Linked DNA regions of Tribolium castaneum. The protein of the gene in region 1 binds, or shares a complex with, the protein of each later gene. Links are inferred from orthologs where the notes say so. Each region holds a gene or a part of one and is shown in the gene's direction. Other genes may lie near its edges. The genes, in order: disp and hh.

Region 1 (4,363 bases):
TGAAACATGAGTAAAAGATAATAACTTTTTACTTATTTGTAAAATTATGATTAAAACTGCACGTAAATAAAAATAAAAAAATAATCTCCATTTTGAAGCTTGTTCAAATATTGCGCCAAACGCAAGATTCAAGTATAAGAAAGCGCACCAACACCCCGCCTCAGAAATCCCAAGATGGTGTACCGGCTTTTTTGTTTACACTTGTTTGAATCTTGTTTTTCACACAAAAATTAAAAAAAATGAGTGAAAACGGTCGTATGCGGCTTAGATCTTCCGTTCCGCAGGAAGAAAGGGAAGCAGTACGTGGTAAAACCAAAAATAGCCCCTCATTTATCACACTTTTGTTAGGAAAAACTGAAAAAACAAAAGGAGGAAGAGGAGTTTCGGAACAGGCCTCCAATTCAGTTTAAAGGCAAAAAAATCTACATCAGGGATTTTATCGAATGTGCCCTCGCCTGCGACAATTTGATGTACTTCTGTCCGAAAATTTATTTGCGGCACCTTTAACCACTTTTTTAGTAAATTAGCCGACGAGGCTGCTGATGTCCTAGTGCTTGGCTTTGACGTCGAATGGCCGTTTTCGTTCCAGACCGGCCCTGGAAAAGCGGCCCTAATTCAGATAAGCCCCGACCTGGACACGTGCTATTTAATTCAAATAAGCGACCTCAAAAAACTCCCCAAGGGGTTGTCAGTGCTGTTGGCTCATCCCAAAGTTAGAATCACAGGAGTCAACATTAAAAAGTATTTTTGGGACGGGAATTTCTCAAATTAACACGCGCATTATTTTAGCGATATTAGGAAGCTTTCACGGGATTTTGCCGGATTTGACGTTGAGAAAAACATTGAGAATTGTATTGATAGCGGCGTTTTGGCAAACCAAATATTACCTTTCCAGCAACGATGGAGTATGGAAAGACTAGTTACATTTTTGGTATTTTGTTAAAAATTTTGGCTGTTTTTACTGCTCTCGTTTTAGTTAAAAATGACGATTTCTAAAGATAATAAAGTGAGGATGAGTAAGTGGCATGTGAGCCCGTTAAGCAAGGAACAGCTGGATTATGCAGCCACAGACGCTTATGTAACTGTTGCACTCTAAAAATAAGTTTTGTTTTTTATTTAGTCATTTGCAGGCGTCTCTAGTGTTATACAACGAGCTCAAGAAGAGGGAAGCACAGGAGGAAAATGATAGCGTTTAATTGTATCTAGTTGCTAGTCGAATAAATAATTTAATTTTGAGAGAATTTTCTTTTTGTCGCTTGCCTGAATAATGTATTCAGGCTTAATAAGCGGGATTATTTCGTTATGAGTTAATAAAAGCGAGGTAAACAAAGTCCTTGAGCCCGGGAAGTTAATAAGTCACGTTCGCCCTAATGTAATAAGAGCCCTTCGGCTTATAAAATGCAAATATAGAATAATGAAGCCAATCGATAATTTTTTGCCTGCGGTTTCCGCGTACAATTTATCAAGAGCCGTTCTCGAAATTCAAAATCAATAAGGAAACCCGGTGTTAAGACACCGGCGATCCCGCCCGCAGTCCCAGTGATATCCCGTCCGTGTCCCGGGAATGCACTGATAGTAACCTTGACTTGTTGGTATGAGAGTGGCTGTGTCCTTGAAGTATTGTATTTGTTTATAAACAGCTGACTTCCATCTCGCCTGGCCTTGATACCGCGCTGGGAGCCGCCCGGTTCGGGCGCAATCGGCGGGCTCCGCTCGGTGCTTCACCGGCGATTTTCTCGGAACTCGTGCGATTAAAGTGGATTTTTCGCGTTTTATTCGCACAGCCGTCGCCTTGTTCGTCGGAGGAATGTGACTCCAGGCTGGGTTTTTCGGTGCTGGCTGCGGCAATTGTCTGGTGGGGTTCCACGAAGCGGTCGCGTTTTGGTGGTTAGTTTACCCGTTACCGCACCCGGCTGCCCGGACGAGCGATCCAGGGTGGCTTTGGCTCCATCAAATAGGGTAATTGTTTTATTCGTCACTCGATCATTTGCACGCGCTTTACGAAACCTCGTTTCAGCCCTAAAATGACCGGTTTTCGCACAATTCAGCGCGCGGTTTTGATATTACAAGCAATTTTTCGACGAGGGACTAGAAGCAATCTCAAATGGTAAATGGAGTAAGCGTTAAAAATGAATTTGAATTGGTTCGCACATATTATCGTCCATCACCCCTACATCATTATATCGGCAGTTGCTGTGTTCTCTGGTACATGCCTGGTGATACCTTTTACACTGAAAACCAAGCCCTTCAAAGACTTTTCGGACCCCAAAATGGTAAGTCCAGCCAAGTTTGGTACCTTCAGGCCCATTCGCCGCTTTTAGGGCTTCACTACCAGAGGAACAGCTATATCAAACAGACTAACTGCTTGGAAGAACTTAGATGAATCAACTCGACCATCAGGACAATTTGCTATTAACCCCAAAGATATTTTGATAAAACGAAATGTAACATTTTTTAAACCTAAAGTTAAGAAAAATGGAAAAAAGAAGAAAAACAAACAAAAAAACGATTTTTCTAATGTAACTTTGCCGCTCAAGTCGCCCCCTTCTAAACCACCATTTCAGGTATTTATAAATGAAGCAAGTAATAATCGCTCTGACAATAGCTACGAAAATAATAACTGGAGGGCTCTACAAAACATGTTGCACCCAAAAGCTGCTGAAAACGTCGCCGTCAAACCGGTCGAAATCGACGGTTTTTTTTGTGGTTATCCTGGTAAGCCAAATTGTTTATCTAACAATCACATTACGAAACCATTTGCTATCAAGTCAAATACTTAAGTAGGGAAAGGTCTTATCAGGCCGACGACCCTTTATTATTGAAAACAATTATTTTTTGAAAATCGTTGCGGATCAAAGTGGCCTGTGACTTGAAATTTGGATATTAGTTTAGCACCACTGACTCAAATAACAAAAAATGGACAATTAAATATTAAACTTCGGTGCGTGGTGGCTTTTTATAATGGAAAACAACTTAAAAACTCGTCTAGGTTTAAGTTGTCTTTAATAAATTAGAATATGCACTTTTACCTTTTTAAGGTCTTCGTCGTCCTTTCGAATCAAATCCTTTACACTTACACATACACAAACTAAAAACGATTATTAGAGAAATCTCACACAAGTTTTGAACACAAATTTGACAGAACTGCAAAATGACAGGTGCAAAAACGAAGGTAAATTGATTAGTTGATTACAAGCGTGCGAACATTACCAACGTTAGCAAAAAGTCACTTGCTTATCACAATAAAAGGATATTGCAAAATTATATGCGTTTAAAATAACACGAAATATTTTTATGTTTTAAATGATTTTTTTAAACATAAATGGACATTGATTTATTTGCAATAGAGGTATAGGGACATCTTCTAATAAATTCCAAATGAAGACACTAAATTGTTTACTATGACTTAAACTGTACATAAAATATGCAATTAAGGTTGAACTATATACTGGGATTGATGGGTAAAGAGGAACTGTTCAAACACGAATTATTTAACGAAAAGTTTGAAATTGAAAATAAATAATAAATCAAAATGTTTTCTTTGCAATTCGATGTTGCCTCTAGATAAAAACATTAAATAAATAAATAATACAAACGGATATGCTGCATTATAATATATGGCGATCGAGTTATTAAATTCAACACCTCACAAGATAAATAAAAAAGCACCTACCTTCATGGCTTCTACGTTGGCTACTGTTTGTAGCAAAACATTAAAAAAATAACAACAACATCATTAAAAAATCTTTATTTGCATGAAAGTTACAACAACGACTGTTATAAACATTAAATAAAATAAAGAATACAAAATACATTGTAATATATGGCACTCAAACTATTAAATTCAACACCTCACAAAATAAATAGAAAAAAAGCACCTACCTTCATGGCTTCTGCGTTGGCTACTGTTTGTATCAAGACATCAAAAAAACTAAAAACAACACCATTAAAAAATCTTTATTTGCATGAAAATTACAACAAACGACTGTTATGAACAATAAATAAAATAAAGAATACAAAATATGTAATAATATATGGCATTCAAACTATTAAATTCAATACCTCACAAGAAGAATAGAAAAAAAGCACCTACCTTCATGGCTTCTGCGTTGGCTACTGTTTGTAGCAAGACATTAAAAAAATTAAAACACCATTAAAAAAATCTTTATTTGCATGAAAGTTACAACAAACGACTGTTATAAACATTAAATAAAATAAAGAACGCAAAATATAATATATGGCACTCAAATTATTAAATTCAACACCTCACAAGATAAATAAAAAAAGCACCTACCTTCATGGCTTCTGCGTTGGCTACTGTTTGTAGCAAGACATTAAAAAAATTGAAACACACCATTAAAAA
Region 2 (3,824 bases), on another chromosome or scaffold:
ACCTCCACGTGTTTCCGAAAATTTTGAGAAAAAAACCCATCTATTTGAACCCAACCCATCTAAAACCCATCCCATATGGTAGATTTTGATCTGTTCTTTATAATTCTTTAGTTAATTTTCGGTACCCGGAACTTTTATCGAGTAATAACTCCGGAACTGTTAAGAGTAAATCCTAGTTATTATCGTTGGAAAGCTCTTTTAATAATCTTTCTAAGAAAAGATCATTCTTCTTCGTCCAATAGTTTTCGAGACAAAATGATAAAAATAGAGCAATAGGACGTATTTTTTTGATAAATCTTGAAACAACAAAGAGTATTGTTTTAGTGAAAATTTTGGATGAAAAAAACGTTGGTAAGCAATCGATAAGTAGGCTATTAGTCATCGTATTTGTGTCGCTAAAATTCGTAGTAGCCGCAGCAGCAGTGATAATGCCTGTTTGTATTCAAGCGCCAAACGGTGTATGTGTGTTATCTCCCGTGATAAATCCATCCATCTAATCGGGCCGGCGTCAAGTAATCGTCCTGGCAGCAGTGGCGTGCACCAGTCATTGAAATCTCCAGCTGGTGATGTTAGTTAGTTAGTTAGCAGTTGAGTTGGTGGCAGGCCAGAAATATAGTATGATTTGCGAGGTGCAGGTTCATCTGCCTCGGAGTTGGGCTCCGCCCGCTGGCCAATAGCCGCTGAGGCCGTCCGAAGATGGCCAGGGCCTTCAAGTGAGTGGGGCCAGTCAGTCGGTGTTTCACCTATGACAAGTGCAAGATGAGGAGTGCTGATGGTGCGTGCGTTCGGAGATGAGGTCTGCTTCGGCAGCGGCGCTCCTGCTAGCGGCCCTCCTGGTGGTGCAGGCGGTGCGGGCTTGCGGCCCGGGGCGCGGAGTCGGCCGGAGACGAGGGCCAAGGAAGCTCACACCGCTCGTCTTCAAACAGCATGTGCCCAATGTGCCGGAGAATACGCTCACGGCGAGCGGACTCACTGAAGGACGCATCGGAAGGAATGACTCCAGGTTCAAGGATCTGGTGCCCAATTATAACCAGGACATCGTCTTCAAGGATGAGGAGGGCACGGGGGCGGACAGGCTCATGACACAGGTACGAGAGAAAAAAGGGAACAAAAAACTTGAAAAAACACTTTTTCGATTTATTCTTTTCACAAAAACTCAAAATTTTGAGTCTGAAATAAAGCCAAAAATTACGACAAAAGTTGAGCAAAAAAGTTGAGCTCAACTTCAAATGTTAAATAATAAATGCTAATATGAGTTACTACATCTCGAAAATTAAAGCTGATAGAAAAAATCTGTTGGGAGTTTTGAACAGCACAAAATCAGACGCAACAAATATAAATAAATAAAAATAGTTATTCCAATGGAAAAAGTGACCAATTTTTGGCTAATTTTTGGAATTCAAATTTGCCAAAAAAATTTTTTTTTGGTAATGGATGTGGCCGGTTACATTGAAATTAAATATGTAAAAAACAGGAAAAGTTGAAAAATTAAATGCTAGTAAAAATTACCATTTTGGCTAATTTTTTGAACATTCTTTTCACCAAAACTCGAGATTTTGCACAGGAAAATTTAAAAATGGTGTCAAATGTCGAAAAATGTGTTCGTTGACCTGTGTCCTAAATAAGCTCAAAAAAGCAACTAAAAAGTTAAAAGCAAAAATATTAAACTCAATTTCAAATGATATGTTATGTAAAGGTAAATGATCGAAGAACAATGATAATAATTCGAAAATTGAGTCATTTTTCGCTGATTTTTGAGATTCAAGTATATTAAGTTTAAATAAAAAAAAAAAAACTCAATTTTATATTATTTCCACTTTTATTTATTCCTTAAATAGCTTATAGGATAATTCAGATGATTTTGTGTTAAAAAAATGAAACTTCGAAATTAAATTGGTAAATTAGATCGAAAAACATTAGAAAAAGGAACAACTGTAATTATTTTTTAAAAGATTGAGGTAAAAAGTGTTCAAAAACCATAATTTTGGCTAATTTTTGGAACATTAAATAAATTTTTTCGACTGATTTTTTTCACTAAAAGTTTCTATTATTGAAATAATTGTACAAGATTTAGAGGATGATCCAAAAACAATGTCAAAAGTCAAAAAATGTGTTTACTGATCTGTTACCTAAATTGCCCCGAAAATATCAAAAACAAAAAAAAAGTCGACTGATGTAAGATTAAAAATATTCGTCTCAACTTGAAAGGTTATGTTATGTAATGTTAAATGATCGAAGAACGATTTAACAGAAAAAGTGACCAACTTTTAGCTAATTTTATTTTTTTAATTCAATTGTTCCTTAATTCTTTTTAAGTTCTAAAATTGTATAAATTATTTCGACTGATTCTTTTCACTAAAAGTCGGACATTTGAGCTTTCATTTCTCAAAAATTGTATTTCTACAGAAGAGTCCAAAATGACATTAAAATTCGAAGTCTCAAGTTTATTCAGAAAATGAACATTTTTTTGCTCATTTTAATTTTGTTATAATTCAAAAATGATTTTGTCTCAAAAGTGTTCTGTGAAATTAAATTGGTAATCTAGGTCGAAAAACATTTAAAGAAACAGAAAAAGGTGAAATATCTAATTTTTGCTAATTTTTGGGTAAAAAATTTCGAGTTTAAAACGTGAAAAATAAAAAATATTTAAAAAATGTGTGATTTTCGAGGTTAAAACTTGTTGATTTGTTGTAAAAATCGGAAATTGATTCGGTCAACTAATTAGGTATTTATAGACGTGCTAATTGCATTAGATGCATGTGCAATGTCATTGTTGAAGTGCATTTTGCGTGAGTAAGGTCAGAAATAGAAAACTAGTAAAATAATTCGAAAAATCAAGCATGTGTTACGTGTTTGTACAGCGTGAGAAATATTCATATAAACATTAAACTGTTTGTTTGAAGAACAGTGTAAACCTGTCTCTGTCTCCAGACAAAAGATAATGGTATTTACACTTCGATATATTGAGATGAAAGAACCAAGGTTTATGAATTACGGCTCAAAAATTACAACAACGCGAGGAATTCGATGAAAATTTAATAAAATTATTAGTCAGCAGTTTTCTAGCCAAAATACCAGAATCGATAATGCGCTTATCAGCAGACGTGACTTAAGTCTGATTCAGAAAAGCGCTATTGTGTTTCTTGGGAAACAGAAAATGCGCTCGCTTTGGTTCAACTTTTCCTGGGATATGCCATAAACTCTTGTTTGTCTAATTAATTTTATTGCACGTTAAATACGTATAATAAAATTGTGAACCGCACCTTGTTAGGACGCTTTGTTTGCCCACTAATTAAAATCCATTCAAAAGTTGACTGAAATCGAGAGCATCAAGAGGAAAGAAGCCTTAAAAAGTGCGTGAGAACGAGCTTTCGAGACAATTTTCAGGTCACAAATTAGGTCAAGGAGTTTCGCTTTTCCAGCTTTATCAGATAGCAACCAACGCTCTTATCATCAAGTTCATTCATAAATAAATTTCGGTTTTAATGAGTCAATACCAACATAAAACCTGATACTTATTAGCCTATAAACTCTTACTTGAATTTTTCATCATACACAAATGACCGTTATTCTCTATTTGCTCTCGCTTAATCCACTAAATTCTATTTATTCAAAGATATAAACAGGTAAAAGACACACACTGTCGTAATACCCGGAGATGCACACGATTTTCACCGCCTGAAATAATCATAGACAAGAGGTTTTTTCCGTTTTGATTAAATTCCTCATTTATCGCACAAGTGGAGGAATTTCACTCATCAGATTAAAATCTGTAGCAAAGTAGCTAATGACTTTTTTTTTGGTGATAACTTTGTATTCTTTTA

The links.
Region 2: the proteins of disp (region 1) and hh are in contact, whole or in part, in a cryo-EM structure (PDB 6TD6), measured with the Drosophila melanogaster proteins. The link is inferred for Tribolium castaneum from reciprocal best matches to the Drosophila melanogaster genes disp and hh. Residues at the interface, in NP_524734.2 of Drosophila melanogaster: His77, His78, Arg250, Tyr253, Glu296, Ala404, Gln405, Ser406, Asn407, Arg408, Gly434, Asn755; in NP_001034065.1 of Drosophila melanogaster: Tyr100, Pro101, Val103, Leu104, Lys105, Gln106, Thr107, Asn110, Leu111, Ser117, Glu164, Lys165, Val168, Ala228, Gly229.

The regions. Positions count from the first base shown.
Region 1 is NC_087403.1:5,666,798-5,671,160, reverse strand, and holds the start of disp (protein dispatched), read left to right. Parts: upstream 1-1,539; 5' UTR 1,540-1,959; intron 1,960-2,017; 5' UTR 2,018-2,129; coding exon 2,130-2,273; intron 2,274-2,321; coding exon 2,322-2,715; intron 2,716-4,363. Other genes in the region: WRNexo (3'-5' exonuclease), read left to right, coding at 240-299, 349-470, 520-741, 790-931, 977-1,078, 1,131-1,196. UniProt on the Drosophila melanogaster protein: Segment polarity protein which functions in hedgehog (Hh) signaling.
Region 2 is NC_087397.1:305,707-309,530, reverse strand, and holds part of hh (hedgehog), read left to right. Parts: intron 1-376; exon of another isoform or gene 377-568; intron 569-635; 5' UTR 636-791; coding exon 792-1,088; intron 1,089-3,824.